Linked DNA regions of Oryzias latipes. The protein of the gene in region 3 interacts with the protein of the main gene of each other region in a pairwise test. Links are inferred from orthologs where the notes say so. Each region holds a gene or a part of one and is shown on either strand. Other genes may lie near its edges.

Evidence for each region.
Region 1: the proteins of meox2 (region 3) and oit3 interact in binary tests that used the Homo sapiens proteins (3 or more experiments, as listed by UniProt). The two-hybrid records come from large-scale screens. The link is inferred for Oryzias latipes from reciprocal best matches to the Homo sapiens genes MEOX2 and OIT3.
Region 2: the proteins of meox2 (region 3) and nck2 interact in binary tests that used the Homo sapiens proteins (3 or more experiments, as listed by UniProt). The two-hybrid records come from large-scale screens. The link is inferred for Oryzias latipes from reciprocal best matches to the Homo sapiens genes MEOX2 and NCK2.
Region 4: the proteins of meox2 (region 3) and cib3 interact in binary tests that used the Homo sapiens proteins (3 or more experiments, as listed by UniProt). The two-hybrid records come from large-scale screens. The link is inferred for Oryzias latipes from reciprocal best matches to the Homo sapiens genes MEOX2 and CIB3.
Region 5: the proteins of meox2 (region 3) and fuca2 interact in binary tests that used the Homo sapiens proteins (3 or more experiments, as listed by UniProt). The two-hybrid records come from large-scale screens. The link is inferred for Oryzias latipes from reciprocal best matches to the Homo sapiens genes MEOX2 and FUCA2.
Region 6: the proteins of meox2 (region 3) and rpl15 interact in binary tests that used the Homo sapiens proteins (3 or more experiments, as listed by UniProt). The two-hybrid records come from large-scale screens. The link is inferred for Oryzias latipes from reciprocal best matches to the Homo sapiens genes MEOX2 and RPL15.
Region 7: the proteins of meox2 (region 3) and ccnc interact in binary tests that used the Homo sapiens proteins (3 or more experiments, as listed by UniProt). The two-hybrid records come from large-scale screens. The link is inferred for Oryzias latipes from reciprocal best matches to the Homo sapiens genes MEOX2 and CCNC.

The regions. Positions count from the first base shown.
Region 1 is NC_019873.2:26,494,758-26,498,754, reverse strand, and holds the start of oit3 (oncoprotein-induced transcript 3 protein), read left to right. Parts: upstream 1-1,197; 5' UTR 1,198-1,277; coding exon 1,278-1,335; intron 1,336-3,997.
Region 2 is NC_019879.2:10,283,133-10,287,425, forward strand, and holds the start of nck2 (cytoplasmic protein NCK2), read left to right. Parts: upstream 1-1,493; 5' UTR 1,494-1,764; intron 1,765-4,293. UniProt on the Homo sapiens protein: Adapter protein which associates with tyrosine-phosphorylated growth factor receptors or their cellular substrates. Maintains low levels of EIF2S1 phosphorylation by promoting its dephosphorylation by PP1.
Region 3 is NC_019874.2:31,196,853-31,200,352, reverse strand, and holds part of meox2 (homeobox protein MOX-2), read left to right. Parts: intron 1-2,868; coding exon 2,869-3,087; 3' UTR 3,088-3,500. UniProt on the Homo sapiens protein: Mesodermal transcription factor that plays a key role in somitogenesis and somitogenesis and limb muscle differentiation. Required during limb development for normal appendicular muscle formation and for the normal regulation of myogenic genes.
Region 4 is NC_019875.2:30,516,009-30,520,163, reverse strand, and holds the start of cib3 (calcium and integrin-binding family member 3), read left to right. Parts: upstream 1-1,355; 5' UTR 1,356-1,696; coding exon 1,697-1,747; intron 1,748-2,239; coding exon 2,240-2,274; intron 2,275-2,451; coding exon 2,452-2,563; intron 2,564-2,864; coding exon 2,865-3,012; intron 3,013-3,338; coding exon 3,339-3,538; 3' UTR 3,539-4,155. Other genes in the region: bone morphogenetic protein 2-like, read left to right, coding at 190-608. UniProt on the Homo sapiens protein: Acts a an auxiliary subunit of the sensory mechanoelectrical transduction (MET) channel in hair cells. Plays a role in regulating hair cell MET channel localization and function.
Region 5 is NC_019880.2:1,087,285-1,091,257, forward strand, and holds the start of fuca2 (plasma alpha-L-fucosidase), read left to right. Parts: upstream 1-1,173; 5' UTR 1,174-1,299; coding exon 1,300-1,484; intron 1,485-2,490; coding exon 2,491-2,678; intron 2,679-2,747; coding exon 2,748-3,087; intron 3,088-3,964; coding exon 3,965-3,973. Other genes in the region: putative deoxyribonuclease TATDN3, read right to left, coding at 358-442, 523-596, 678-710, 787-840. UniProt on the Homo sapiens protein: Alpha-L-fucosidase is responsible for hydrolyzing the alpha-1,6-linked fucose joined to the reducing-end N-acetylglucosamine of the carbohydrate moieties of glycoproteins.
Region 6 is NC_019869.2:17,918,289-17,922,450, reverse strand, and holds the start of rpl15 (60S ribosomal protein L15), read left to right. Parts: upstream 1-1,362; 5' UTR 1,363-1,470; intron 1,471-1,985; 5' UTR 1,986-1,996; coding exon 1,997-2,168; intron 2,169-2,244; coding exon 2,245-2,381; intron 2,382-4,130; coding exon 4,131-4,162.
Region 7 is NC_019882.2:15,128,172-15,132,252, reverse strand, and holds the start of ccnc (cyclin-C), read left to right. Parts: upstream 1-1,281; 5' UTR 1,282-1,407; coding exon 1,408-1,439; intron 1,440-1,771; coding exon 1,772-1,878; intron 1,879-2,019; coding exon 2,020-2,104; intron 2,105-2,570; coding exon 2,571-2,640; intron 2,641-2,777; coding exon 2,778-2,829; intron 2,830-2,926; coding exon 2,927-2,982; intron 2,983-3,674; coding exon 3,675-3,710; intron 3,711-3,788; coding exon 3,789-3,880; intron 3,881-3,967; coding exon 3,968-4,035; intron 4,036-4,081. Other genes in the region: glial fibrillary acidic protein, read right to left, coding at 1-36, 116-309. UniProt on the Homo sapiens protein: Component of the Mediator complex, a coactivator involved in regulated gene transcription of nearly all RNA polymerase II-dependent genes.

The DNA.
Region 1 (3,997 bases), on a different chromosome or scaffold from region 3:
CCTTCATTCTGACCTCTTTTGTGTTTGTTTTCTTCAGTTGACATAAGATGCTGTAATGTTGGCAAAAAAGAAAAATGTAAAATCCTGTATCATTTATGAAATATGTATAAAAGAGAAATGTAATTCAATTATCAATAAAACTCTTATCCAGTTTTTGGAAACACTTGTCCTGATGACGTTTTTTTTGTTGTTGTTGTGTTTGTTTTTTGGCAAAGAGGAAACATTCAAGGTCCAGAGGATCTGCTGTGATCCTGCCTGACCTCCAGCTGCTTCTGTGCAGGATGTCCTTTAAGATTAACCTGTTCATTTGAAAAAAAAACAGCGAAAGAAATGAAAAAAAATAAGTTATTTCCTTGATTTGATAGAATTTGAATAGTATTACACTGAATTTTAGAAATAAAACATGCCTCTTAAAGAGCGTTCAGACTTTCCAACATGACTAAAATGCTTAGTTGGAAATTATTTTACTACGAATTTTTCTTTTATCTTCACTTTTTTATGGACTGATGTTGTTGTTCTGCATGTTTTCTAAATTTAGGAAAAAAGAAAAGTGACCCTAATGAAGCTCCAGGATATTGTCTTTAAAGTTGTGCTAAATAGACATCACATGAAAAGTTTTGCAGATATTTTTTTTATTGGATCTCGGCCCCCATCATCAAGAAACTCAGATTTATATTTAAGAAATAGTCATATGTTGTATTAAACCAAAAGGTCTGATGTGTCCTGTAAAAAGGTAACATGGAGCGACAGGATTTCCCTAAAAAAAGAGTGATTAGTATTTCTGAACCACAAATATTCTTTTTTTTTTCCATGTCATTGATCCTGCAGCTTCAGATGTATCTGTACCTGTAGGCACAACGCTACAGAGGAGTGAAACAACATCGCTTGAAACTCAACAAAATGCTGGATCTGCAGGGATTTGTAGTCCTAAAACATTTGTTTTTACTCATAATCTCAGTTTAAACTACTTCTTATTAAGAAATGTTCAATTTTCCTGACAAACAAACAGACAGCGAAATGTTGTTCTTGTTCCTCCACAGCAAAGACGGTTGATGTGATGGTTGGAGTGTGATGTCACCTGCTAATGTACGTTTCCCTTTTTGGAAGGAGGCGAAGTGGGAGGGGCTTCAGAGTTCAAAACAGTGGGGGCGTTTGATACAGGGGTCAGGGTGAAAAAGAGCAATGAAAAAAACAGAGAGACTCATTTAACACCGTGTGGTCAAGGTTAGCGGCTGCAGTGTTGGGTTTGTGGTGGGATTTCAGAGAGGCGGCACATCATGATGCTTCTGGTATTTATCAGTCTACTGCAGGAAGCCTTTGCAGCTCCAGGTGTAGGTGAGTTCAGCTGTTCTTACACCTAATCATGCACATTTATTCATTTATATTATAAAAGTTTTTTTAACGTGGTGAGAGTCAAATAAAGGGGCATAAATGTGTTTCAATGGACAAACAATGTTCTGTTTTTGTTCTCCGTCCTTCAACATGCTTTTAAATTGAAAATGCTTTTATTGTGACCTTTTGATTTTGTCAGTAACATTATAGGATCCAGCTGTGTCTGTTTGTGATCTGAAAACGAAATAATTGTGCGCCGTTTTCAACTGAAAAACATTTTTATAAAAAAAGGTAAGATGTCTGTCTGATCCTTTTTGGGCAGATCCTTGTTGGTTTCAATGCAAGATTAAATAAAACCTTAATTTTTAAGCATTTCTAAATATATTTGGCGTGTGTAATTAGCCCCAATCTGACAGTGTTTATCTCATGAGAATGCCTATTACTGCAAAAAGAGGCAGCTTTAAAACAGGAAAGAAAATAGGAAGAAAATTACTGGAAAGTAATAAAATTGTCTGTTAAATCATTTTAACTCCACAAGAAATTATGAAGTATTAAAATCTAGTTCCACACAAACATTCAAATGGGAAAAATAAGATAAAAAAGTTAACTCCTCCATAGAATTACTTCAAATGAAATGGTTTACAGGCCAATGATAAGTATTTTTGGCTTGCTCTAAGCAAATAGTTTGTATTTTTGAGTTTTTATGAACCTACTTTCAGTTCATTTTGATTACAGTGAATAAAAACTAGTGGAAAATAGTGGAAACGACCATATAATGTGAACTAAGTGTCGATTTTAGTATCAGTTAGTCCATCTTAATAAATCCTCATGAAATCTAAAACTAGCACTATTTCTGAGAAGATAAATCTAAATTTTTTTTTTCAAAATCATGACCATGAGTGCCAGTCTAAGGTTTATTGCACTTTTAAATAACATCCTTAGAACTGAACCAAAAATTGCAAAGAAATCTGAGATTTCCTATTAAATCAAGTTTTTCTGTTGTTAAATGTAAAGACTTATTTTTTTATAATAATTTTCTTATTTCTAAATCTAAATGAGACAAAAAAAATCTCAACTGCTGATTTTGAGAAAAGCTTGGAAAAGTGTGAAAGTTAAAACAACAGAAAACCCGGTAAAATATCTTGAATGTCAGGTTTGAAATCTTTGCAAGGACCAAATAGTTTCAGCCTTAAAGAGTATTTAAACCTACATGTTCCTTAAAAATGCAGATTTATTTTGATTCCATGTCAGTTAAAGGCAGCTCCAGCTGTTTGGGTTCCATATGCTCCAAGACCCAAGTTCATCATTTGGTGACTGTTGTGACCCGATTTCTTCTCGTGGGCCTTTCATCCGCTAAAGTCAGAATCAGAAGAACAAGGTCGTTTTTCCTTCACATGTTAAGGTGTTCCGGTCCCATCTGGAAGATTCAAAGCTCGCATTAACATGCACCCACATGAGTCCGCTCTGTCCCATCTGTGCTGTTGAAAGTGGAGCGGTGTGGGTCAGAACGCTTGTTGATGTTAGCAGAGGGTCTAGGCTGCACAGAGCCTGCAGGGGCTCAGCCTCATGATGAACAGAAAACTGAGGTGAATAGCGATAGGAGGGGCACAAACCTCAGCTCCACATGTTTCCAGGATACTAGAAAAACACACTTTCTGAAGTTAATTAGAAAAAGGTTGATAACAGTAGAGGTTAGAAAAATGATTCCAGCGTGTAGAAGGGATGCTGACTGCTTTCCCTTTCACCGGTGCTGCCTGTGCCCCACATGTCACCTCGTGTTGTTTTACACCTGTGTCTTAATTACACCGTTGATGGGCCATGAAGACAAGAGGCACTATTGATTGTTCTGTTGCGCCTTGTTTTCCTCTTCCAGTGCAGCTCTTTTCCCGATGCGCCACCGCTGCTCACATGTGAGAAGAGCTGATGCAACTTTCTGACATCACGCCTGTAAACGGGTTGAAAGGCGTCACCATTTTTCGAATATGCTGCCATTAAAACAAAAAAAAAGAATCTCCCCAGATTTGGATTGTTTTTTAAAAGATGGATTCCGCTATCAGGATCAGAATTACAGACTTATACCTTAACCAGTACAAAAAGGGAAGAAAAGCCAAACAAAAACACATTTTAAACCTAGTTTGGGTTCATAAATTGTAAATATATATACTTATCCTCCTGATTACCAATTTTGTCCAGTTAAGTTTTTTTAAATCCACCAAAAACCCACCTCTTCACATTTGGTACGATTAAAAAGGCCCAAAATTCCTCTGATACCAACAGAAGTTAATCAGTATTAGTATAGTAGTTTGGAACTATTCACATTGAGAAATGTCCTCTACAGATGACACATTTGCACTGGTGGTGGTCATTAGGAGATCACCAGTATCCTAAACATAACCATAAAAATCCAAGTACAGCCGCCTGCAGCATCAACTAGCCCGTCCTCGCCCTCACAGACCCCTCCCTACCCGCCCTCACTAATTAAGTAGATTCACACGCCCCTCCCCCCCCCCCCCCCTCTTTTGTCCTACTGCCTTTTCTATTGGCTCTATCTCCATAGCAACCATTTAATTTTTTGGTCGTCTGAGGGGGACGAAGAGGTCTACGTAACTTTTAGAAGTTTCGGCAGAAGTAAACTTTTGGATTTCCTTGGCAACTGAGGTTATTT
Region 2 (4,293 bases), on a different chromosome or scaffold from region 3:
TTTCACGATTAAATTGTGCAATTTTGCACCTTTCGTTTGAAGAATGTATGAGGAAGGTTGCCTCTATAGCTTCATTTTAATTTTTTAAAGTATGTCTTTTAAACAAATTAAGATTTTTATTTCCTTTACAGTAGCAAGGAAATGCGATCTACATGAATAACAATGGACATGTGGCTTAATCGTCTCCTATTTCTCGCTATTATCGCCAAGGGGCGACATATTCCTCCACAATCTGTCCATTTCCCTCTGGCGTTGTCCTGTTCTCGTCCCGGGGTTAGTGACGTCACAACCAGGACCGGGGATCAAGCTGAACGTGAATATCAGAATCAAACCGGAAATTGAGGCGGAGTCCTAACAAATAAAAGCAGGCTCGATTTAACAAAAAGATTCTGAAAGTTAGCATGAAAAAAGGAAAATAACCAAACTAAGGTACGAGTAAACTATAAACAACATCAGTTCACCAACAGACATACATGTAATTTTACATGTAATTTATATGTAATTTTACATGTATTACATTTAGGCCTGCAGCCTTGCTTCAATGACCATTAGGTAAATACACTTCTGACCGTTAGCAGTTGGTAAATAAAAGATTTTTTTTTTACGTTTTGAATTGCATACTCATTTACCCACATCACAAAGGATAAAGTGTAACCATAGAGCAAAACAAAACAAAATACGATTTTAAATGGATAGGGATTGACCAAAAAAGTAACTTGTTGATCTTTCTATTTTATTTAATTCTTATGAAAATTTTTCTGGATTAAATATTTGTTGTTTGATGCCATCATATGGACTTCAAAAGAAAAGAAAATAGTAAACTACATGGAACTGCTGTTAGCGAAACTGCTGAAACATCTGCAAAATGATAAAAAACACCTACACTTCAAACACATATACCGTTAAACTGTGAAGAACCTCTTTTTAGATGTTCCTCACCCAGACAGATATTGGCAAATGAAAACACATTAATTTAAAAAAAGAATAGAAAGAATAAATGTTTCTGCTAATATTCCACATTCATTTGGTTTCAAAGTTTTCTCTTCCTAAACATTCGTATCATCTTTTCTTTACATTTTTGTATGCTGTTGCTAAGATTTTCATTTTTGACATTTAAAATAGGTCAAATAGACGACAAAACACCTGAAGAAGTACAAGTTGAATATGTCTAAAAATGTACTATTTCAAAAAAGAAAAAAGTTAATTATATATTAAATAAAGATAGTAGTGGTGAATAGACAATAAAGCAATAATAGTACAGTGTACATTTTTGTTTATCACAGGCATAAAAATGTGGAAAAATGCACACGTTTGTTATCATGAACAATATTTAACCATATTTAATTAAACTGTGTTTTCTGACTGCATTTAATATTTTTCAAATTTCTAATATGTAATTTTAATTTACTTGTTTTTGCAAAAATTGTACTTTTTAATTGAATTTGCCCTGTTCAAACCTAGCTTTATTTTGAAAAATCGGAACGGAAGTGAAGAAGTGTGTATCTCCTAGCTTGAAAGGAGGCTGATCGAGGCGGAGGCAGTCAGCCTGCGACGGAAAAACAAGCGACAACACGTCGAACAGTACAGGTTTAGTCAGTGTTTGAAGAAAGAAAATGAGATAAACCAGAGGAGATGAGGACTTAAACGAATTTTTTTGTCACTTTGACGAGGGTTTGGTCACTTATTATTGTTGGACCCGCGCGCGCTATCCCTGTGCTGTGACGCTTGTCTGCCCATTCTGACTGGAGTGAACACTAAGGTAAGGTAAGCCTGAAATACACAACTGTGTGAGTTGCTTCTGCTTACATTACTCTTTCCAGCTGCGCGTGCCGTAGATTGAAAGGGGTTTTATTGGTCTACAGAATTATGTGTGGAGGTTTTCCTCCGTAGTGGGAGTGGGAGGCTCGGAGTGTCACTTTCTCGCGTTGAGACGCTTGGTCTTTGTCCACTCTGACCACAGACTTGGCTCGAATCTCGCTCCAGTGTTCGCGAACCACTTTTTAAACCCCCACAATTGTATAAATTTGTTTAAATTCCCACACTTAAAATCATCAATTAAAATGTTCACTAACAACATTTGTACTTTTTCGGTTAGTAAATATTAGAGGGGCCTGACTCACAGACCATGGTCGGTGGTGGTGGATTCCAGGCTGTGGTCCGGCTTTGTTTAAAATAGTTTCTTTTAACTTCAGTTCTACAATTTCGTACTTTTTTGCGTGGAAAACAATTTCTGCCATCATAGGTGTTTGGTTGGTGTGGTTCGAGATCCTGCTGACAGCGCTACGGCTCACACAATGAAGCACACTTGCCAAAGAAGCAGCAGAAATCGGCCGGGCGCCTGGTGCCACATGCCGAGCTTGTCAGTGCTCCTAGCGGCCGTTGGTGGGAACTGCACCATGCTGTCGCCTCATCAGCCCCTGTGGATCAAAGGACGCCTTGTCTGTTCTCTCACTGACTTGATGCTGGATATTTTTGTACATTTTATTTTAGATTTAGAATTTGGGTTTTCAGATTTAAATCCAGGTGTTTAAAGGTGCTGAAAGTTCTTGCGTGGTTCAGGTAGACTTGTCACACCTACTGCAGACACACCCTGTGCAAAGCGCTCTCCCGGTCTACAGTCCGCACTGACAGGTATGAGGAAGGAGGCTGCAGGTCCTGTACTGCAGAAACTCCCGTTGCATCATTTCCTTGGAATTCGATACTTGGAGCAGAAATGTTGTTTTAGAGATGAATTTCCACCCCCCTCTATGTTTCTGACACCATTCTCCCTGTCAGCTATTAATAACTCACTCTGATGAAAACTGTGGAGTTTTTTTAATATGTTCTTGTTTTTTTTTTTCATGAGGGAGGACATACATGAAGAAAATTTAGATATAAAACTGCATTTATGAGTATTTCTTTATTCAGATCGTTGTGAATCAGGAGCCGATGAAAAATTACTGTCGGAAAAAGCTTGTTGCTTTGACGTAGGCGTTTACAACGGCAAGCCACAAACTCCCTGCTCTGCTCCATTCTGATGCCTCCACTAGTACACGACTGTGCATCTTCGTTGACCTCGTCTGAGGTGGAATCTGGCTCAGAACTGTACGGCTGGATAGCTGCAATATTGCCCGCCCTTTTTGTGAAACCCCTAACGTTAGGTTGGGATGTGTGAGGGGCTCTAAGCTAGCGGGAGTTAGTGTAAACAGATAGATGACGAGATGTGGGGGTGGGCTTTCTCTGTGTGCCCACACCTCAGAGGCAAATTTCTGATGAACTCCTGCCACTCTGCATAACTATGTCCTAGAAAACGACACAGATTTTTTGATTTTGGCTAAAAAGAGCATCATCACGCTTTTACAGTAGATCAAAAGATGATCAGAGTTTGACTTTAAGCTATGTTCTCATCGCCCTCGGCAACATGTTTTTCAAGCAGACACCTTCGATGAGAAGTCTATGTAAACACTGTTTTATGGGCTTTTTTGCTCAAAACTCTTGTGTTCATGCCTGGCTACGCAAGTTTTTATGACAATGAACACGCGTTGGAAGTTAAACCAGGTCGAACTTTGACCAATCAAGGACTTGGATTTTGGAGTGACATATATATGGTTTCCTTTGTAATTCACGAAAGTGCCAACGGTTTGAAAGTTGATCATGAAGGAGGAATTAATGATTGTGGTTTGTGCCCGGCTGGAATTCTGGCATCAAGTCTTTAATATATTGGAATATAGCTGTCAAAGAAAAGACAAAAAAATAAAACCTGGAGCAAGATTTACCAGATTTGACTTTTTGCACCAAACCTTTTCTAGTACATGGTAGAAAAAGAAAAAAAAAGGGTACTTTAACATGCATTAAATGCATGGTGTGTATTAGAGGTCCAACGGATCACGGATGACCCTTGATGACCCCCCCCCCCCCCATTTAAATCGATTGTCCGTTCAAACCAAAGACAATTTGTGCGTCAAATTCAATTAATTTGAGTTAAAATAACAAAAATGAGTTTTTTACAAATACATCATATTGTCAACAATCACGATTTTGAATATGTGATTTAGAAAAATGTAAACAATAATTACTGTATTCTACTATGGATGTATTGTGAAGCTTCTAGGAGTGTGAATTCTACATTTAGGTTTTAAATATTGTTTTCAGAATTGCCTATTTTTATTCATATATTAAATGGATCCGTTTTTTAGTTTTTAGTCGTTTCTTTTAAAACAAACCCGATCTTTCCTGTCATCTTCTTAACCGTTTATTCCCTTTCGGGGTCACGGGGTTGCCGGAGCCTATCCCGGCCACTTGGGCGTAGGCAGG
Region 3 (3,500 bases):
AGCTTTATATGATTTGAGATCATTTACACTTTTTAAAATTTCTCTTCTGGGTGAAATAACCCAGTGATTTTACTGAAAAATGTTGAATATTTTTATAAAATAAATTCAACTTAATGTTTTAAATATTTGATATTTTCACTCAGACCAGACGTCCGTCTTCTAAACCCAAACAAACAACATTAAACGACAATGAGCTTTATTTCTATGTGTAGAGTAGTCGGATTACTTACAAACATATTTAAGTACAAAACATTTAACCAACTTTATTAACACCTAGTAGTCTAGAATCTGTTTTAGATTTTATTTCTACTTTACAATTTGCTCTAATAGTAATCTTTAAAACTGTTTTTTTTTATCGATCTACAGTTTTTTAAAATATATTTTTGATTATATTAAACAATATTTCTTCAATTAACCTAATAATGGCCAAATAACAATTTTCAAATGTTACATTTCTCTCTTTTTTTTAACTGCAAAAATGACTCAATTAAGATCAAACCCCTTTTGTGTAAATCTAAAGACAAAACAGTCAAAAAATGAGGAAAATGTCTAAATAAAACAGATGAAGTTTCACAAAACTGTGTCCAATGTTCCAAAGAGGATCAGTATTTTGTGTCATAACTTTTGGTCTGTTTGTTTTCAACCACAACTTTACAAACTAAAAACATCCTGAAGCGTCACATAAAATTTTGAATGAAAGCTGCACTCAATGGGGGGGGGTCAAAGTCATTCCTGCATCAATGTAAAGTGACAAAGGGATCAGAAAACTCAGCAGTGAGTTCAGAGACACATCCAAAGAAATCCTTTAACACTGCAGACTCCTGCTAAACTCTTCTTCATGACATGTAAAAATGTAAAGAAACATATATGTATATATATATAGCAAACTTAATGTTCATAAAGAGCCACAGAGTTTGAGCTGAAACAGGTTTGATATTCTCCCTCAGAGTGAACTGGAACACTTTTGGTTCACATTTCTGAGGAAAACCTGCCGCCTCGTTTTTGAAAAGAGTGGAGAAATGTTCAGACCGCCTTAAAGAGATTCAGATGTTCGTTTGAAAAAAAGGCCCACAGGTGTGCTTTCAAAGTAACGCAGCTCCTCGGCCTGAAAGCACCTGTAAACCACGGCTTGAAACATGTCAAACGCTCCATAAAGCCTCTGAGTGCAGCTCCGCCTTTTGGTTTCAATTACAGACGTGCACATGGCCACCAAGAGCACCGTCTGCCACCTTAAATCTACTCACAGACTCCAATCAATCTCTCTGCGGCCTCAGCGTGTGCGTAAAGGGCCGGCGGCTCCGGCGGCGCACACGTGTGACCTCGGTTTGTCAGCAAAAATATACAGCAGGCTATTGTGAGGTAAATATTGCCCACATCACGTCTGGCAGCGGTGGAGGATGTGTGAGCAGCAGAAGAAACGGCAGGGGGGCAGAAACCTCTCCTGTTCAGGGTTTAAACTGGTTCAAAGGGAAACGCTGGTTTATGTCTCTGAAGCATTTATGTCTGAGGAACAGTGAAGGTTTAGGAGGTCAAATCTGCATAAATGGTCTGAAATCCAGAATCATTTAGAAATGTATTTAAAAACATCAGAATGGGATTTTTTTTTCATCTGCTCCTGATTCAAAATGAACTAGGAGCTGCTTTTCCAGAAGAAAATGCAGGGTTGAAGGTTGTATTGCTGAATGAAAATGAAACTTAAAGGAGAATAATTGGCACACACAAAAAAAGAAATGATCAAAGTGGACCATAAATAAAGTGAAAACAGCACAATAACAAAAAAGATATGTTTGTGAAAAATACCAGCGAGTTTCTGCACCAAGGATTCCCCATTTATTTAAATGGAGGCAGAAATCCTGGAATATCTAGAAAAGTTCACGGATTTGAAGGACCAAAAGTCAGAGCTGGAAAAAGCTGAAAGAGCTGAACATTTGAATAGTTGAATGGTTGAAATAGATGAACCATTGTTGAAGGAGTTAAGCTGCAAAAAAATGGTGGAAGATCCTCGAATAACCCTTGTGCTATCCTAGGCACTTTAACATTGGGAGTGGGGTCATCTGGACCCCACAAGACAATGCGGCGAACAAGCTACCAGCTGTCATGCCGGGTCTAGATGACCCCACTCCCAGCGTTAACGTGCCTCTAAGCCACGTCAACGTAGGGAGTTGGGTCATTTAGACCCACTAGACAGTGCTCTGAACCTTTTTTCTTCAATGATTTGTGATCTTCACTGGTGTCCATGGATTACATGATATCTTTCCACCTTTATCCACCTTTGTCATGGTAGGGAGAACACCTCAATGGAAGGGGGGGGGGGTCATCTGGACCCCATAGGATAGCACAAGGGTTAAAGAAAGAAAAACAGGAAATGCTTTATAGCATTCAATCCATAAATACTCAAATGCAATTTTAATCTTAATTTTCTTTGCATGTGTCCTTCATCTTCACAAAACTGCCACAATTATGTTAGAAACACCATTTTCATGGGCTTGTGTCTTTATGGACCTCAGGAGTTTAAACTGAAGCTTTTATTTCTTTAGATTCTGTTTTTTAGACCGTTTGCATTTTCCTTTTGAAGCCTCAGTTTAAGGTGGTGGTGGTGGTGGTGGTGGGGGGGGTCAAACAGAAACCTGTTTGGGTTGAAAATCAGCTCCAGAACATTTCACTTCATGGGTCTCAGAATGACACCCTCCCAAAATAACGCCCCCCCCCCCTATTAGAGGGTCTCTGCTGCCACTTGAGACGGACTAACCGCTCGATCATCAGTCCGAGGCGTTACTGAATCTGTTGAGTCGACATGCATGGGGGGTCAGGTTCCAGATGTGGCAGCACCTTTCCAAACGTGTCTCTGCTTGTTTGACCCCCCCACAGGTGAAGGTGTGGTTCCAGAACCGGAGGATGAAGTGGAAGAGGGTGAAGGGCGGCCAGCAGGGGGCGGCAGCGCGCGAGAAGGAACTGGTGAACGTGAAAAAGGGGACCCTGCTGCCGTCGGAGTTCTCTGGCATCGCGGCGCTGCACCACTCCACGGACTCCTTAGCCAACGAGGACAGTCAGGACAGCGACCAGAGCTCCGAACACGCCCACTTATGATGCACTCACCCCACCCCAACCAGGAGAGGACCCTCCTCACCAGGGCTGCTGTTTGCTGCCATCGTCGCACAGCGATGCTAAACAAGTGTACAGTCGAGAACATTGACAAAAGAAAAAAGCTTGTCGTAAATACTAACGTGTCAAATGCATTATGGGTAATCCTGTTAACATTCCATGCTGTGTTTGGAGAAGCAGCTTTGATTTGCACTGTTGACCCACAGTCTGCAGCTCCGATGGCTTTCTGCTGTACAAAGGGTCAAATATTAGCGGGATAGACGGAATCGAACCCGCCCCTTCAATGGTAGCGATCTGTACATATTTCTCAGCCTTACGTTGGTGATTCGATGCCTTCCTGTTTGGTTCCTGCATCAATAAACGGCGACAGCTCTTCGGCTGACACCTTTCTGCCCCCT
Region 4 (4,155 bases), on a different chromosome or scaffold from region 3:
TTGTGCTATCCAAGGCACGTTAACGTTGGGAGTGGGGTCATCTGGACCCCACAAGATGGCCCATGGGTTAAGGGTGCAGTGATTCCAACGGAACCTAAAACCAATAAGTTCTGATTTACGGTCATGATGCCTGCTCACACCGTCCTCCTGTAGAGATTAACACGTTTGACGTCTCGGTTCCTCCCTCAGACTCTGGGGAGTCCACCTCCACCCTCCCCCAGTTCCCCATGTCCTCTCCGTCTTCTCGCTCCGCCCGCTCGGTGGACTACAGCGAGGACCACGGCGTGCCCAAGCCCTGCCAGCGCTTGCCCCTCTACGTGGACTTCGAGGAGATCGGCTGGTCGGGCTGGATTGTGTCGCCGAGGGGCTACAACGCCTACCACTGCAAAGGCTCCTGCCCGTTCCCTCTGGGTCAGAACATGAGGCCCACCAACCACGCCACCGTCCAGTCCATCATCAACGCCCTGAAGCTGGTCCGAGGCATCGAGACGCCGTGCTGTGTGCCGGACAAACTGCACTCCATCAACCTGCTGTACTTTGATGATGACGAGAACGTGGTGCTGAAGCAGTACAACGACATGGTGGCTGGGAGCTGCGGCTGCCACTGACCATGAGCGCGCACGTGCACACGCACACAGCCAGCATCACTCTGAGGCCGCACTAACAGGCAAACCTGAGCAAAGATTGTAAAATATGTAAATATTCATAAATATTAATATATGTTTATGACAGATGTGTTATTTACACAAATGTAAATGTGTATATTGTGTTTTCTGCTGAGTGGGATTGTAGTTTGAATAAAGGTCAAATGACAGAATGTTTTTTTTGTTATTTTAAAAAATCCGCTCAAATGATAAACATGATAAACTTTAAACAATTTAAAAAATGCATTAGTAAACTGAATTATGATTCATACCATGTACAAAAGTATTATTCATTCAGGTGAATAATTGTTGGGAGCCTGCTGTTGCCAGGTTCCCCCAGCAGAGGGCGCCGCTGTGCTCTGAGAGGACAGAGCCAGTCAGTCACCTGGTGCAGGTGAGGAGGTCAAAGTTACCTTCAGAGGGGCAGGTGAAGCTGTCTGAATAAAAAGTTTAAAGACATTTTTTAAATTTACTTTGACTAAAAGTTTTTCTTTGCAATAAAGTTGAATAGAAAGTGAATCTGAACCGTCGTCTCGGTGACTTTTGACCTCTTGTCAGCCGAACTTCAGCAGAACCGCGTTCTTGATTCACAAGCACACCCATCAGACAAACACACTTAGGACGCTCATTGAGTTTCCCTCTGTGTGTGTGTGTGGGGGGGTTCAGGTCAGGTCTCCGCGTCCCTCAAACATTCGCCGTTTGCATTGATCAGATGCAATAAACCGTTTCTCTGCAAAAAGTCGTCCCAGCAGGCCGTCAGAGAGGATGGTAACCTGATCGGGGAGCGAGGCGTTGGCCGTGCCGTGGCACTAAAGGGTTGAAACCACTTGGCACGGTGCTCGACGACAGCCCTCATTCACTGCCACACGGGCTCCTATTCAGCACACAGAACCATAAACTGCTGCCATTATAGTGGCAACCAAAGGGCCCGGCTGCGACCCGACACCCGATCTCCTCTTTGGCTCCGGCCTCCTTTTGTGCCAGGATTTCATATCTGAACTGCCCTCCATAAAAAGCCCTCCAGGCTGCAGCCATGGACCTGCTGCTCCAGGATGGGAAGTAAGCAGAGCATCTTCACGGCACAGCAGCTGGATGCCTACCAGGTGGGTGGAACACCTCCTGAAGACTTCCTCGTGTCTTTGAAGACCTCCTCAGCGTTGTCATTAAACAACTTCAGGACATTCAGGACATAGAAGTTCTGGATTCTGGATCCTGCAGGTTCTCTGAACATCAGATTTGACTCATCAGGAATTATTCTGCTCCTGTTTCATTCCAGACTGTTTGACAACAGGACCCGACAGAATAGAATAGAGTACATTCAATGGTGCGTTAGCATCATCAGAATAAAAACAACAATAGAAGCAGATTAAAGCCAGTATACATATGCGTACATGTGGGCGTGTCCCGGCGTCTCAAACGCTGAACACCTTAGGAAGGTAAACCACCACAAAAACAAATCTGAACTGTGCTGCTGATGACTCCAACCTAACTTTAGCAGCAGGAAGGTTGAAGATGATGAGAAATAAATGTTTGATGAAGACGTTCAGGGCTGCAGGGTCTGTGGGGTCTGCTAACCTGTCCTGGTCTCTCAGCAGGACTGCACATATTTCACCAGGAAAGAGATTCTCAGGTGAGCCTTCACATGTCTGCATCTTATTTCTGTTGGTTTTGTCTTGAATGCTGTAACTTTTAAACACCATCCTGCTATTGAGACTGTTTTTTGTCTTCAAATCAGCTTCACTGGCTGTCCTTTCAAAATACAAGTCTGGAAACATTTATTTTGAAATTCTTTCTATGTTCTCTCTAGATTGTTCTACCGGTACCGGGATCTGGCCCCACAGCTCGTTCCTCTCGACTACACCAAGGAGCCAGATGTGAAGCTACCATATGAGCTGATTGGCAGCATGCCCGAGCTGAAGGTAGAGCCGCCGCCGCCGCTCTGCCACCCCCCGCCCGCCCCCGTCCCCATCCCCATCCATAATGCACGAGCAGCTAATCGACAGAATTCTTTGAAAGGTTATCCGTTACATGACTCCCTTAAACTTGAAGAATGCCGGTGGGTTCCAGAGGGCAGGTCAGTTGTGCAGCTCTCAGGTAAAGTCAGGTGAACAGGTGTGGCCGCTCAGAGTCCAGAGACCCAACCTCCATCCGAGCCTTTCCGTCCTTCGACCTGTGAAACGCTTTGTTAACCAGACCGTCTCTGGTGTCGGTTCGGTCCAGGACAACCCGTTTCGTCAGAGGATTGCGGAGGTTTTCTCTGAGGATGGAGAAGGAAACATGTCGCTGGACGACTTCCTGGACATGTTCTCCGTTCTCAGCGAGATGGCGCCTCGGGACCTGAAGGCCTACTACGCTTTCAAGATCTACGGTAAAGACTTTTCTGACGCTCGTCTGGAGACGTCCCTTCAAACCTCTTCCAGATTCTTTTGGTTTTCAGTTGAACATTAGGGGCAAATTTAACGGATTCAGACCTGAAAACCACCAAGTACGGCCCCTAAAGCCGGATCAGGTGTGTCCAGGTGATCAGCTGCCAGTGGGGCATTAATGCAGACCCCCGAGGCCTCGGGGGTCTGCATTAATGCCCCACTGGCAGCTGATCACCTGGATCAGGTATGTCCAGAACATATCTGAATGTTTTAGCGGCTCGTTTCTGACCCCAAAGCTATGAAACAAACGTTTGATTCTTCCCCAAAGACTTCAACAACGACGACTTCCTCTGCAAGTCGGACCTGGAGAAGACGCTGACCAAGCTGACCCGCGGCGAGCTGGGCGAGGACGAGGTGAAGATGGTGTGCGAGAAGGTGATGGACGAGGCGGACCTGGACAACGACGGCCGCCTCTCGTTGGAGGACTTCCAGCACATGATCGTCAGGGCTCCAGACTTCCTCAGGTGAGCTCAGGCGTCGTGTGGATCGACGCTGCTCCATTAAAGCCTGTTCTGATCCGGTTCTGGTCTCTCCACAGCACCTTCCACATTCGGATCTGAGGAGCCAGAACGTTTGTCTGAAAACTGTTTTTCACCATCTGGTCTGTAGAAAGTAGTCGTCCCAAACCCTGACCCGCCGCCGGACGGAGCCGCGGTCCATCGGCCGTCCCACCAGGACCCGGCTCATTAATTATGACGATCGGCAGCAGATTCCTTTCATATCTGAAGGGGTTTGGTTACACAAATATAAAGAAGCAGCAGCGCACAATGCAGCGCCGAGGGGAGGGCCGCTGGTCATCGGAGCAGCTCCTGGGGGGCAAACGAGGGCCGACGTCCATTCAATGAAAACAACGCTCACAGCTTTCATCTTCTTCTTTTAATAAAGCAAAAGTACACGTCTGTACAGAGCGTAGATCCATTCTAGACGGGTTGAGACAGAACATGGTGTGTTGGGACATATTTACAGTCTCTGACCCAAACTCTCCTCGTGTTACACAGAAGCAAAGCAGATGATCATGTTCAGTCTATGAAGCAATGACACGCGTGTGGAGATATGTTCACAATGGGGACGCATGGATGTTGGAA
Region 5 (3,973 bases), on a different chromosome or scaffold from region 3:
ATAAGAGTCAATATAACCTAAATTATATACAATATGACCCTCGTCTACATAAGATGTTAAAATCTAACATAAAAGTCCATCCCATTCATCAAATGCATTTATTTGATTCATTAAATACTTCAAGCTGCCATAATTTTGTTTCACCACATCTAAGGTAACCATTTACCTCAATTTCACCGACTTTTGCGATATGCATATTGCACAGCTCGATAACCATAAAGCTGCGGTATATTGTGCCGCATAACTGAGATGCTTAAAACTGAAGCAGATGTGGTCGTTTTCATTATTTGGCTGGTTTGTGTCCGTAAAGAAGCGGATGGTTTTGGGGGTGAACTCCTCTGTCAAAGCAGAACTCACCTGCATAGAAGCTCCTCTCTGCTGCTGTGCAGAAACTGCCTGAACAGGATGGACCCCTAAAGCCGGGAAGATAAAGCCTGGGAACCTGCAGGGATGGAAACACCTGGATTAATGCGGACTATCGGAGCGCACCGTTTATTCCCAACCCTGTCAACGTCTCTGCACCTCTGACACAGCTCAATAATCTTATCAAACTCTCCCACGTGTTCAGCAACGGCCAACACCGCCAACAGTCCCGCCTGCACGGAAATGAACGAGCTGTGTTAGATTCACACAAACAAACACAAGACAACAAATCTCTGTCTGAGCGCTTTTCTCACCTTCTTCGCGTTCTCGATGACCTCTTCTATGTCCTAAACCGAACACGGACAACATTTATGCCTCTCAAAATGCAAACTATTAACTTAAATCACGCATTTTCTCTCCTACCTCATCGAAATCTCTTGCAGAAATGTGACAGTGACAGTCGACGTAGCCCGGCATGTTTACGTTTGTCTTCTTCTTTGACCCGTCTGCGTTCAAGCGGCTTCGCTGCTCTCTGCTGCCCTCTACTGGCTGCAACTTTTCGTTTCATAACTGTCTAAATTGAGTCAACAGTTGCTTAAACAAACAGAAAATATAATATTTGTATTTATCAGTTTAGTTTACATGCATTTAAGTTGTTTTTGGTATTTTTTACGTTTTTCAAATGTTCGTTGTCTGAAGAAGAAAACTGCGCATGCGCAACAAAATCACTTTCCAGTGGCATAGTAACTAGTGACGTTTAGTAAATGGTCGAATTTTTCTTCGATTTGATTGGTTGAATCTCAGCAGTCTCGTTTCAGGAAGTTTTTTGTTTTGACTTTTTTAACACCCCTTTATTTGTCATGTGACAGAAGCAGGTGTTTGTCTTCCACATCATATGACGGGGAAGCCGGAACTTTCTGCACTGTTCGCATCGGAATGGGCGCTTTTCCCGCTGTCCTCGCGCTGCTGCTGCTGCCGCTGTTGACCTACAGCAGGTACCAGCCCACCTGGGAGTCCATTGATTCCCGCCCGCTGCCGGGCTGGTACGACCAGGCGAAGTTCGGCATCTTCATCCACTGGGGGGTTTTCTCTGTGCCCAGCTTCGGCAGCGAGTGGTTCTGGTGAGTGGTTCCGGTTCTGAGCAGAGCCGCTCTCGCGTAGTTCGGGGAGGCTTCGGCCCCAACTAAGATCCACCTGGTGACCCACCGGAGGAAAACCATGATAGAGAAACCAGGTCAGAGCCTTAAAAAGCTTCGGGACAGACGATGGAGATTTTCAAAATTAAATACTCAAAAAACGATGTCGGAAATACAGTGAAATATGCTGAAAAAAACTGAAATTGAGCTTTTAAAAATCAGAAAGCTGAAGTGAAACTAAATAATGCTGATGAATTGAATGACTGAAAATAAATAGCAAAAAGTGCAAAACTATCTTATTGCATCATAGTTGTAAAACATCATATTGTTCAGCCAAAGGGAAGGCAATTTAAAGTTTTTATCTACATTTTTGTTATAACTAACATTTGAAACCAAAAGACTCAATGATTTTTATCTGTGAGTCAACAGTTTTGCCATTGAAATCTAAATAAAAACAGCATCATTTAGCCTTCTTTAGCTAAAAGGAGGTTATAACCACTTTAAATCTGAATATGATCCTTCACACACTGGCAGTTATGCTGCAGCTCTGGAAGATCTGAACTTCCTGCAGGAGGACGGTAGACTCCGCCCACATTGTTGTGTTTCCAGTTCAGTCTTATGATCAGGTGAACATTCAGGTTTGCAGTGGTTAAAACTTTCCTTTGGTGTCAGAATTCATTTGTGACGTAACTGCAATGGTGAGGGAATTTTGTATCCAGACTTTCCTTCTTTATTCTGAAGCATAATTATTGGTTGTTTTAAGTCTGAGTCACCCCTACGGGGGGGGGGTTTGACTCGTCGACTCGGGTTCTGTTAGTTCTTGGGCTGTCTGGGTTCATGGAGGGGCTACATCTTAAAAGGGGCGCAGGTGCGTCTTCCAGTTCTGGCTCATATGGCCACAGGGACATCACGAAAATGGACCGTACCATTTTTGTTCGTGCATCGTTGTGACTCCTTCAGTCACAGGAACTAAGGTGCTTTTGTTCTGCAGGTACTACTGGCAGAAACAGAAGCAGCCGGCGTATGTGGACTTCATGCAGAAGAACTATCCTCCAGACTTCAAGTATCAAGACTTTGCATCGTCCTTTACCGCCGAGTTCTTCAATGCTAAAGAGTGGACGGACATCTTAGCATCTTCAGGAGCAAAGTACATCGTTCTGACCACCAAACACCATGAAGGTAGGTCAAGGAGGCGCCGCCGACCGTCCTGACGGTTCCTGTCATGCAGGGTTTGTTTGTCTTTCCCAGGTTTCACGCTCTGGGGCTCCAAAGTCTCCTGGAACTGGAACGCCGTGGACGTGGGGCCAAAACGAGACCTGGTGGATGAGATTGCGAGCGCCGTTCGTGCTCAGGGCGACATGCGTTTGGGGCTGTACCACTCTCTGTTTGAGTGGTTCAACCCGCTCTTTGAGCTGGACGCCGCCAACCTCTTCACCACCAACTTCTTCCCCACCAGCAAATCCCTGCCAGAGCTTTACGAGCTGGTGGTGAAGTACAAACCGGAGGTGCTGTGGTCCGACGGCGACGGGGATGCTCCCGCCAAGTACTGGAACAGCACGGGCTTCTTGGCGTGGCTCTACAACGACAGGTGAGGTCCAGGTGATGCAGCTGAGAGTCTACTCACACCAGACAATCAGAACCAGAGCACGATGTTCTGCATCCTCCAGAGACCACAGTACTCTGCCATTTAGATCTTCCACCAGTGTCTGTCTTTAGAGATGTTAGCTGTTTGGTTTTTAACACGGTGGGCGGGGCTACGTCCCTGAGCTTTTAGTGGCATGATCTGGAGCACCTCTGTAAGCCGGCCTCGGTACGGTTCACTTAACCGTGTCTGAGTTCAGACCGGACCGATCACAGCAGACAAACCGACTGGACTTGAGGGTCAGACGGGACCGGGTACAGATATTCTGTGTATCAGACTGTTGCAGGCGGGCTGGTTCTGTGGTTGGCACAAGGCTGGACCCTCTGGCTACTGTGGCAGAGAGAAGGACACTCAAAAAACTATCGGGTATCCTGGACAATGCCACCCACCCTCTGCACACGACCATCAGTAGCCAGAGAAGCACCTTCAGCAAGAGGCTGCTCCTCCCAAGGTGCAGCACTAATAGACTGAGGAACTCCTTTGTCCCCCGGGCCATCAAACTCTTTAACCACCACTTAGGAGGGGGGAGTGGGACAGAAAGGAAAGGGCCTTGATTGACTTTCTTAAATGCTGTTTTGCAGAAATGTAAACTGTCTTTACTGTTTTTACTTTTCTGATTATTTCTAATAGTGCTGTATGTGATGGAGATGTCAATTTCCATGCGGGAACCTCCCAAATGGACAAATAAAGTTCTCTCTCTCTCTCTCACTCACTCACTCACTCACTCACTCACTCACTCACTCACTCACTCACTCACTCACTCACTCACTCACTCACTCACTCACTCACTCACTCACTCACTCTCTCTACTGACTCCCGACAGTCCTGTACG
Region 6 (4,162 bases), on a different chromosome or scaffold from region 3:
TGGGATGGTCGGTTAGCTGGGTGAAAGGTTGGTTAAGACTTGTGCTTGGTGACCGTCTCCACCCACAGCTTTAAGCTTCTTCCATTGCTTGCACTGCTGTGCAGCATCCTGGTCCACCTCACCTTCGCTCTCAAAAGGAAGGTCAGCTGCAGCAAGTGTATGAGTGTAAATGACGAAGACTCAAGAGGAACGGTGAGGTTACAGGGAGCGTTTGCAAAAGAGGTGAAGCGTACAAGAGTAGGAGGAGGTGGTTTCAGGTGTGACAAAAGAGAGTCGGCAAAAATGAAATGATGGAAAAAGAATGTTGACGTTGAAGCCACCAGGAAGGAAGATTAGAAGAAATCAAAATAGAGGTGAATTATGATCCACTGTGGTGATCCCTGAAGGGAGCAGATGGCTCGTACTGTAAAAAACATGGACAAAGTGTGTTGATCCATTACCTCTTGATAACATTGAAAAGAAAATGTGATCGTAGGGAAATGTTCGGATGATTTCACATTTGGGTGTTAGCTACCAAGCTAATGGCTAATATGCTGCAAACAAACCAAAATTCCGGCGATAAACCTCGTTAATTCAATATTAACATGTTAAAGGAATGTACTCAGGTACTCACTTGCTGTAAAAGTAACTAGCACTTTGTAAAAGTAAAATAACACAGGCGATGGCAAATGCTATGTTGCAGCCACAACGCATGCGCACAAAATAAACATTGCGTCAAAACGACGCGACTTATCATTATATTTTTTGCGACGTTTTATCTAGACTAAATGGGAATTATTTGCATTTATATCTACTTTAAATATTTTTTTTTAATTTTTGTTTTATTTTATGCCCCTAAAAATTTATTTATTTTATTTATTTAATGTTTGAATTGAATTTTGAATTGTTTTATAACCATTTGAATAAAGCTTGATTTTCACTCACACAAACTTTTTTTTAGATATTTAAAATACATTCTATTTTTACAAGCCACTAAACACACACACACACATATATATATATATATATATATATATATATATATATATATATATATATATATATATATATATATATATATATATATATATATATATATATATATATATATATATATATATATATATATATATATATATACACACACACACACACACACACACACACACACACACACACACACACACACACACACACACACACAATATCATCATGATGCATTGGATTATAATAATTTTATTTTTGCAAACATTCAAATATTAATGAAAATTGGTTTTAAATATGCTATTGAGTTTTATTGTTAGTTTAACCAAATATTTATTCATCAAAAATATAGATTATAACTAGAACAAAGGATCAGTGTCTGTCTAGAATCAGTGCGTGTATAAAACTACATTTACCATGAGCACAGAGGTCAGAACTGCGCAGCCGTGGTTTTGATAAAGCATGCTGGGTAAAAATTCTCCCTCTTTCCGGCTGGTTCGCCATCATGTAAGCGAGACTTTTCTTCCACTACTGAATTAAACAATCCGTCTAAATCCTCCCGTTTACCTTAAAGCCTGTACTTCATCTTTGTGACACAAACAAACAACCTTTTAATAAAGTATAATAGCGGACTATTTTTGTAAATAAAAGTCATCTTATTACCCTAAACGGTAGTGCTAGCGCTGTTAGCTTCAGTCCTTTCGCCGAAGCGGTAATGTGTTATTGCGGGGATTCAAACGATCAGAAGACACTGAAAAGACTTTAGGCTTTAAAACAGTCAAATTAAAACAAGTTTCTCTGATATAGTTCTTTACTGCAGGAGTTTGTGTCTGTGAGGGTTCTCTCAAACATAATCACAGCTTCTATAGTTGTTGCTAAAAGCTTTTTTTGCGTCTCGTGCTGCAATGAATCACCTAAATACTTAAGTTTTGAAAGTGTCAATTCACTTGCAGTTTGCCATCATTCTTGTGTCTTTTATGAAGGAATAGATTTGTTGATCTATTTGGTTTCTCCTTGTTTAGATTAAGTCACCATGGGCGCATATAGATATATGCAGGAGTTATGGAGGAAGAAGCAGTCTGATGTGATGCGCTTCCTCCTCCGTGTCCGCTGCTGGCAGTACCGGCAGCTGTCCAACCTCCACCGTGCTCCCAGACCCACCAGGCCCGACAAGGCCCGTAGGCTGGGTTACAAGGCCAAGCAGGGTGAGTGCATCATCGTCCTCCTCAGTATCTTTGTGTGGTACCCATCTTAACCCCTTTGCCCCCCCCTCCTAAACAGGCTACGTCATCTACCGCATCCGTGTACGCCGTGGAGGCCGCAAGCGCCCCGTGCCTAAAGGTGCCACGTACGGCAAGCCAGTGCACCACGGAGTGAACCAGCTCAAGTTTGCTCGCAGCCTGCAGTCCATTGCTGAGGTTAGTTGATGTTCTGGCATATTTTCTGAATGACGGTACAAGCAATTGATGTCAGATCGTTCCTCCATAACTACATGTGTGACTATAGGGAGGACGTCTTGCTTCTGGGAAGAATTGGTCAGGTGTGATGAGAATCTTTATTTGTAATGAAACAGTTTAATTTCCAGGATTTACAGCATTTGCCGGAGTAAACATGTATGTGGTGTCTGTCTCTCCCCAAAGTTCCACTGCCATCATCTATTGATCTATTTTCCCTGTGGTATTTTAGTCATGAATATGCAGTTTTTAGTCAAAATCCAAAAACTTGTGTTGTTATCTAGTACACGGGTTCTGCAGAGTGGTAGTAGTTCATTAGTAATTACCCCTGACTTGTGGGCAGGACTGTTGGTGTGGAGTAACCCCGCCCCCTCCCTGTTGCTGAGAGCTGTCTGTTTACACGGTCTCCAGCTAGCTTACAGCCTCTCGCATCGCCAACTCGAGCTAACATTACCGGTGCAACAAAAATGGCGAGCAATATTAGAGCTATCAGCCATTCAGTTTTGAGCCAGCTCAGGTGAGGAGAACAGACGTACATTAGAGCAGCCAAGCTCTTTTTCATCTGCTCCTTAGCCACAACAATTAAAATAAAAAAAATACTTAGAAATGCAACTTTGAGCTTGATTTATGTCCACCATCATCAGAAAAATGCAGCAAGAGCTTGTTAAAAACACCAAAGAACAGTTTTCATCTTAGTCAGTGGGTCTAAAGGTTTCATGGGGGGAAATGTACGATGTAATCTCACGGTTTTTTATGTTTTTATTTTTTAAAGCAGCCTACGCTGCATTTTTTAAATAATAATTGTGTCAGACTTCATTTTTGGTTTGTCTTGTGGTCACGTATAAGGCGATGAAACTCTGCCTTTGATTAGATATTGGCTGAAGAAAATAACCTAGATTTTTGTCAGAAGACGGACTCAGATGGGCTGTTCTGGTTTCGTGTGAGAACTCCTCATTCTCTGCAGTCAGTAGCAATTGTGTGAACCGTTCGACATAAAGTGTGTGAACATCTGGGTTTAGGATATTGTCGTGACTCCTGTCTGCAGCAGAGTTAGAGCTTTTAGCTGCAGCTCGGTCTTCAGGTCAACTGTGGGCATGAACTAAACTCTCAGGTTGTGCTGTGTGAGGACGCTTCACCGCCAGAGCTGAACAGATGTTCATCTGCACAGTAGACAGCTGTGGATGAAACATCTCCTTGGAAAACAATCTGAACTTGATCGTTGTTTCCACGTTCACAAATGACTAGGAAACGTGCATCAGTGACTTGATGGAGTCCCAGATTGAAAACAGATTGGCTCTAAAAGTGCGTTTAGTGTTGAAATTCTGTTTTGATGTTTGCTTCACCCTGGGACAGACTGGTGACCTGTCCAGGGTGCCCCCTACCTTCGCCCACAGATGGCCGGGATAGGCTCCAGCAGCCATGTGACCCCACAGGGGAATAAACGGAAGAAGATGAATGTTAGCTTCATTACCAGTATTATCTGATTGGAAACCTGAGGCTGAACGATCTTAACGAAACCTTTTCCTCTTGTGGAGGTGTTGTGTGTTCATGTGTTCACTTGAATAATGAGCTGTAGAAGTTGGGTAATGATCAGGCTTCTGTGGTTAGATGAACATCTTGCTGTAGATCATTTAGTTTGAGTTCCTGAGCCTGTTGTCTCTGGACCTTCTGATGAGCTTTGGAGAGCTAACGCAGCTTCACCTCCATTTTCAGGAGCGTGCTGGTCGTCACTGCGGAGCCCTGCG
Region 7 (4,081 bases), on a different chromosome or scaffold from region 3:
GATGAACCTACACAAAGGACCCCCATACTTGAACTGCTGCAGGAGCCCAAAAATAATGGTGTAAGTGGCTTTGTGTTGTGGGCTTTTTGTGTAGCTGGCTGAGGTGATGACCTACCTTGTCAGTTTTTGCTTGGTGAGTGCTCTATGCCCCCCCAACTTCCACCCGCCACTTCGGTTGAAGCTGGCTGAGCGGTGGCGGTTCTCTCTCCTGGTGGGAGAAGGACTGGAAACCCGGAGGTGGGATGTTGAGGCAATGTTGTCCTCAAAACAACGGCGGTATGAAGACATCCTCTCCGGGCTTCGGCTCATGGTGGCTTTTAAGTTGATGCAACTGTAGTTGGAAACTGGAAATGGAGCCTTTGCTTCTTCTGTCAGTCTGAGGAGGTGGGGTCTTTATACACTTCTTGGCCCTTCCCCTAACACTACAGTGAAATGCTGAACCCTTCCATACCAAGTATGAATGCCTGCACAGGCATCTATCAACAACAAGCCAAATAATTTGGCCTATAGGCTGTTGAAAGAACATTGTGCTTCGAATGATGAAGGACTTAATTAATTTTGAAGTAAAAGCTGAATTAAACATTACTTTCAAATGTTAAGTACAAGCAAAATGAACAATACAAACTGATTTTTAGTTGTCTTAATTACAATAAAAACAAGTAAAACATTTGAAAAAACAGAACACCACTGACTTCACGAAAGGCTAATTGAAATTAAATAAATACAATAGAATACAATTTCCTGTTTTTCTATAGGGCTACGTAATTTGTTTAGACCAAAGAAAAGATGTCTGCAATCGCTGATCGCTAAATCGCTAAAAGTCAAAAGTCCTTAATTGCTGCTTTTTGTTTTTTTAATATTAATAGACTATATTAGGTATAACCCTTTACACAATGTAGAATAACTATAGCCAAAATAAAATAATTAAAAAAAAAAACAACTTGTAGTTGACTTAACCACAAACAAATATGGTATAAAAGCTCTAGTTACCCAAATGCTTTAATATTCAATTGAGTTTAGGAGATAATCAATGAACCCTTTGAAATAAAGGATGCTATGTTTATTTGACCACTTTCTTTATTTCCTTTTTCCCTTCTGTTGCTTGAAAACCTCATATACTAGCCTCATCACATCTACTTTAAACGTCTAAACATGGTAAATGGCATCTTAAACAATTAGTTTTATAAATGTTTTAATCATGCAAAACATGTGAGTATACCCTCTTTGAAGTAATCGTGTTTCCCGACATTTACAGGAGACTGCGGAACCAATCTTTGGGCTCGTCGGAACGTTATTCGTGATACACCAGCTCTGCCACTTTAATTACTTTTCTCGCTGTCTCCGCTCTTTTGTTGGTTAAAAAAAACACAATTTTCCTTTCTGTAAATTTCTACCTCAACTGCAGTGATGGCGGGTAACTTTTGGCAGAGTTCTCATTAGTGAGTTTTTGTTAAAATAATATCGACGTTGTGTGTGTTTTTGTCGTAATCATCAGCCGCTTCGCTTGTGAGGCCTAGCTAGCTGCTATTTTTGTTCTGCGTTGAAGCTAACAGTTTACTTATAGCATTGTGGTGTAAAAATAACACTTGGGGAACACACTGTAACTAAAAATGTGGACTTTCTTTCCTTTGAGCTCCAGCAATGGTTCTTGTTTTCGTTGTGTTTTGTTGCCGTCACGTCAGGAGCTTGTTACTGTTAGTCAAGTGAATTTGACCCGTTCAAACGTCTGTATAAATTTATCATATAAAGTAATCTTGCTTATCTTTTAAAGTCTGCAGTGGGTCTTGGACAAACAGGACCTCATAAAGGAGCGCCAGAAAGACCTGAAGTTTCTCTCGGAGGAGGAGTACTGGAAGCTTCAGATTTTCTTTGCAAATGGTGAGTTTTTTTTCTAATACATTCATGCAGGTTTTGGGTCTGTTTCCGGGTCTGTTTGAAAACATGAGAAAATCTTGAATAGTCACGAACAAAACCTAAATCACACACTTCAACTAATGTTTTTCATTTGGTATTTTTCAGTTATCCAAGCTCTGGGCGAACATCTGAAGCTGCGCCAGCAGGTCATTGCTACTGCGACTGTGTACTTTAAGCGCTTCTACGCCCGGTAAGGAGCTCGAAACGCTTTTTCCATAAGTTAAGCTGTTGGTATTTTACACGTTTGTGCTGACAGCTCATGGAGGGTAAAGTGTGAACATATTGGGCAGCCCTAATGAGATTACATCAGTGTTGATGACAGTTTCATTTCTGCAGAGCATCAACAGCTTTTGTGTCCGGGAGCGGATAAGTTGGTCTGGTTTATTGAACCCTGTAACAAAAGGCTGTCGACATGATGTATCAATGAGTAAACAAAGGAATGTTTACTTTTGCTGACATTAGCATAACAGTTAGGAAGGCAAAAAAAACAAAAAAAAAACTTTCCTCTTTTGTTTTAAATTCTTTCCCTTAACTATACTGTGCTTACTACCCATGTAGCCATGATTATCTTTGGCTACTCTTACTTTTTGACGTCGTCAGCATTTCTTTCCATGATCTGTTTGTTTAATATTTAAATACCTTGTGTCATTTTGCAGGTATTCTCTGAAGAGTATAGATCCGGTGCTCATGGCTCCCACTTGTGTGTTCCTGGCCTCTAAAGTTGAGGTATAAATTTGGTGGAATCATCTTTAACATTTCATGTTACATTTCATTTTTAATCATAAGTGAGACACATTTTAGGGTCTTTAACTGCTTCTTTAGTACACACGATAATCTGTTTTGTATTGCTTATTTTCCTGTAGGAATTTGGAGTCGTGTCCAACACCAGATTGATCTCAGCCGCCACCTCTGTATGTAAGTGACCCACATTGTGGATCTCAAATTTAAGTTTTCCCTGTTTTCATTTGGAGTTTCCAGCAACACAAATTTTTTTTCTTCTGTTTTTTTGTAGTAAAAACAAGATTTTCTTATGCCTTTCCAAAGGAGTTTCCTTACAGAATGAATCATGTGAGTAAAACACAGTGGAAGTAATCCGATTACGTCTGTGATTTTATGAAAAAGTTAAGAATCATGAACAAATCTGACGATGCAGAAATGTGACGGTAAACAGTAAATGCCATCAAGGTTTACTGGTTTAAGTTTCAAGAAGGTGAGGTCACATCAAACTGCTTCCTCTGCAAAGTTATTTATGTGCTGCATTGCAGCTTACCGAGAAGCCTTCAGACTGTATCACAGTGTTGCCACATTACTGCCTATCAGTGCGTTAGATTCCTCAGCTAATGTTCACACTCTGCTGACAAAAAAAAAGTCAGTCAGGGGGCTTGCTGCTCAATGCTTTTGCCTCGCAGATCTCCAGAGTTTCCAGAACAAGACGGCTCTGACGTAATGCTATATAAGCTATAAATTACGGAGGGGGGGGGGTTCAGACGGCAGAGATTGAGGTAGCAGAGGGCCGTGACTCGTAAACATCATTCATCTTGTGGACATTGGACACTTAGTAAAAGTGTGACAATGATGAAGTGCGAAGCTGTTAAAAGCAAACAAAGTCATCATCTGTACAGCAGGAGGTCAAAGGCCAGTCTGATGACGAGACTTAATAAATAAAAATGAATTCACAAATTTTGGGGGGCATTTTCAAAGTGAAAACATGATTAAATGTCTTTTTGAAATAATTCTAAACCTCTTTTTTTTCCCCCCAGATTCTAGAATGTGAGTTTTACCTTTTGGAGCTAATGGTGGGTGGAAATCTAGATAAAAAGGATGAGTTGTTTCATAGAGAGAAGAATTGATCCTTGATTGGCTTAATTTTTCAGGACTGCTGCCTGATTGTGTACCACCCCTACAGACCTCTGCTGCAGTATGTGCAGGACATGGGGCAGGAGGACATGCTGCTGCCCTTAGCATGGTACGTTCTGCCTCGTTTGAACAAAACCCATTGATGTTAGCTTATTTTTCCGCTGGAAGGCTTTGCATTGTTTTCTGCCTTTACCAGGCGAATAGTGAACGACACGTACAGGACAGATCTGTGTCTGCTCTACCCTCCCTTCATGATAGCTTTAGGTAAGAAATGCCTCTTAGGTTTTGAAAGTAGAGCAGTTTAACTCAC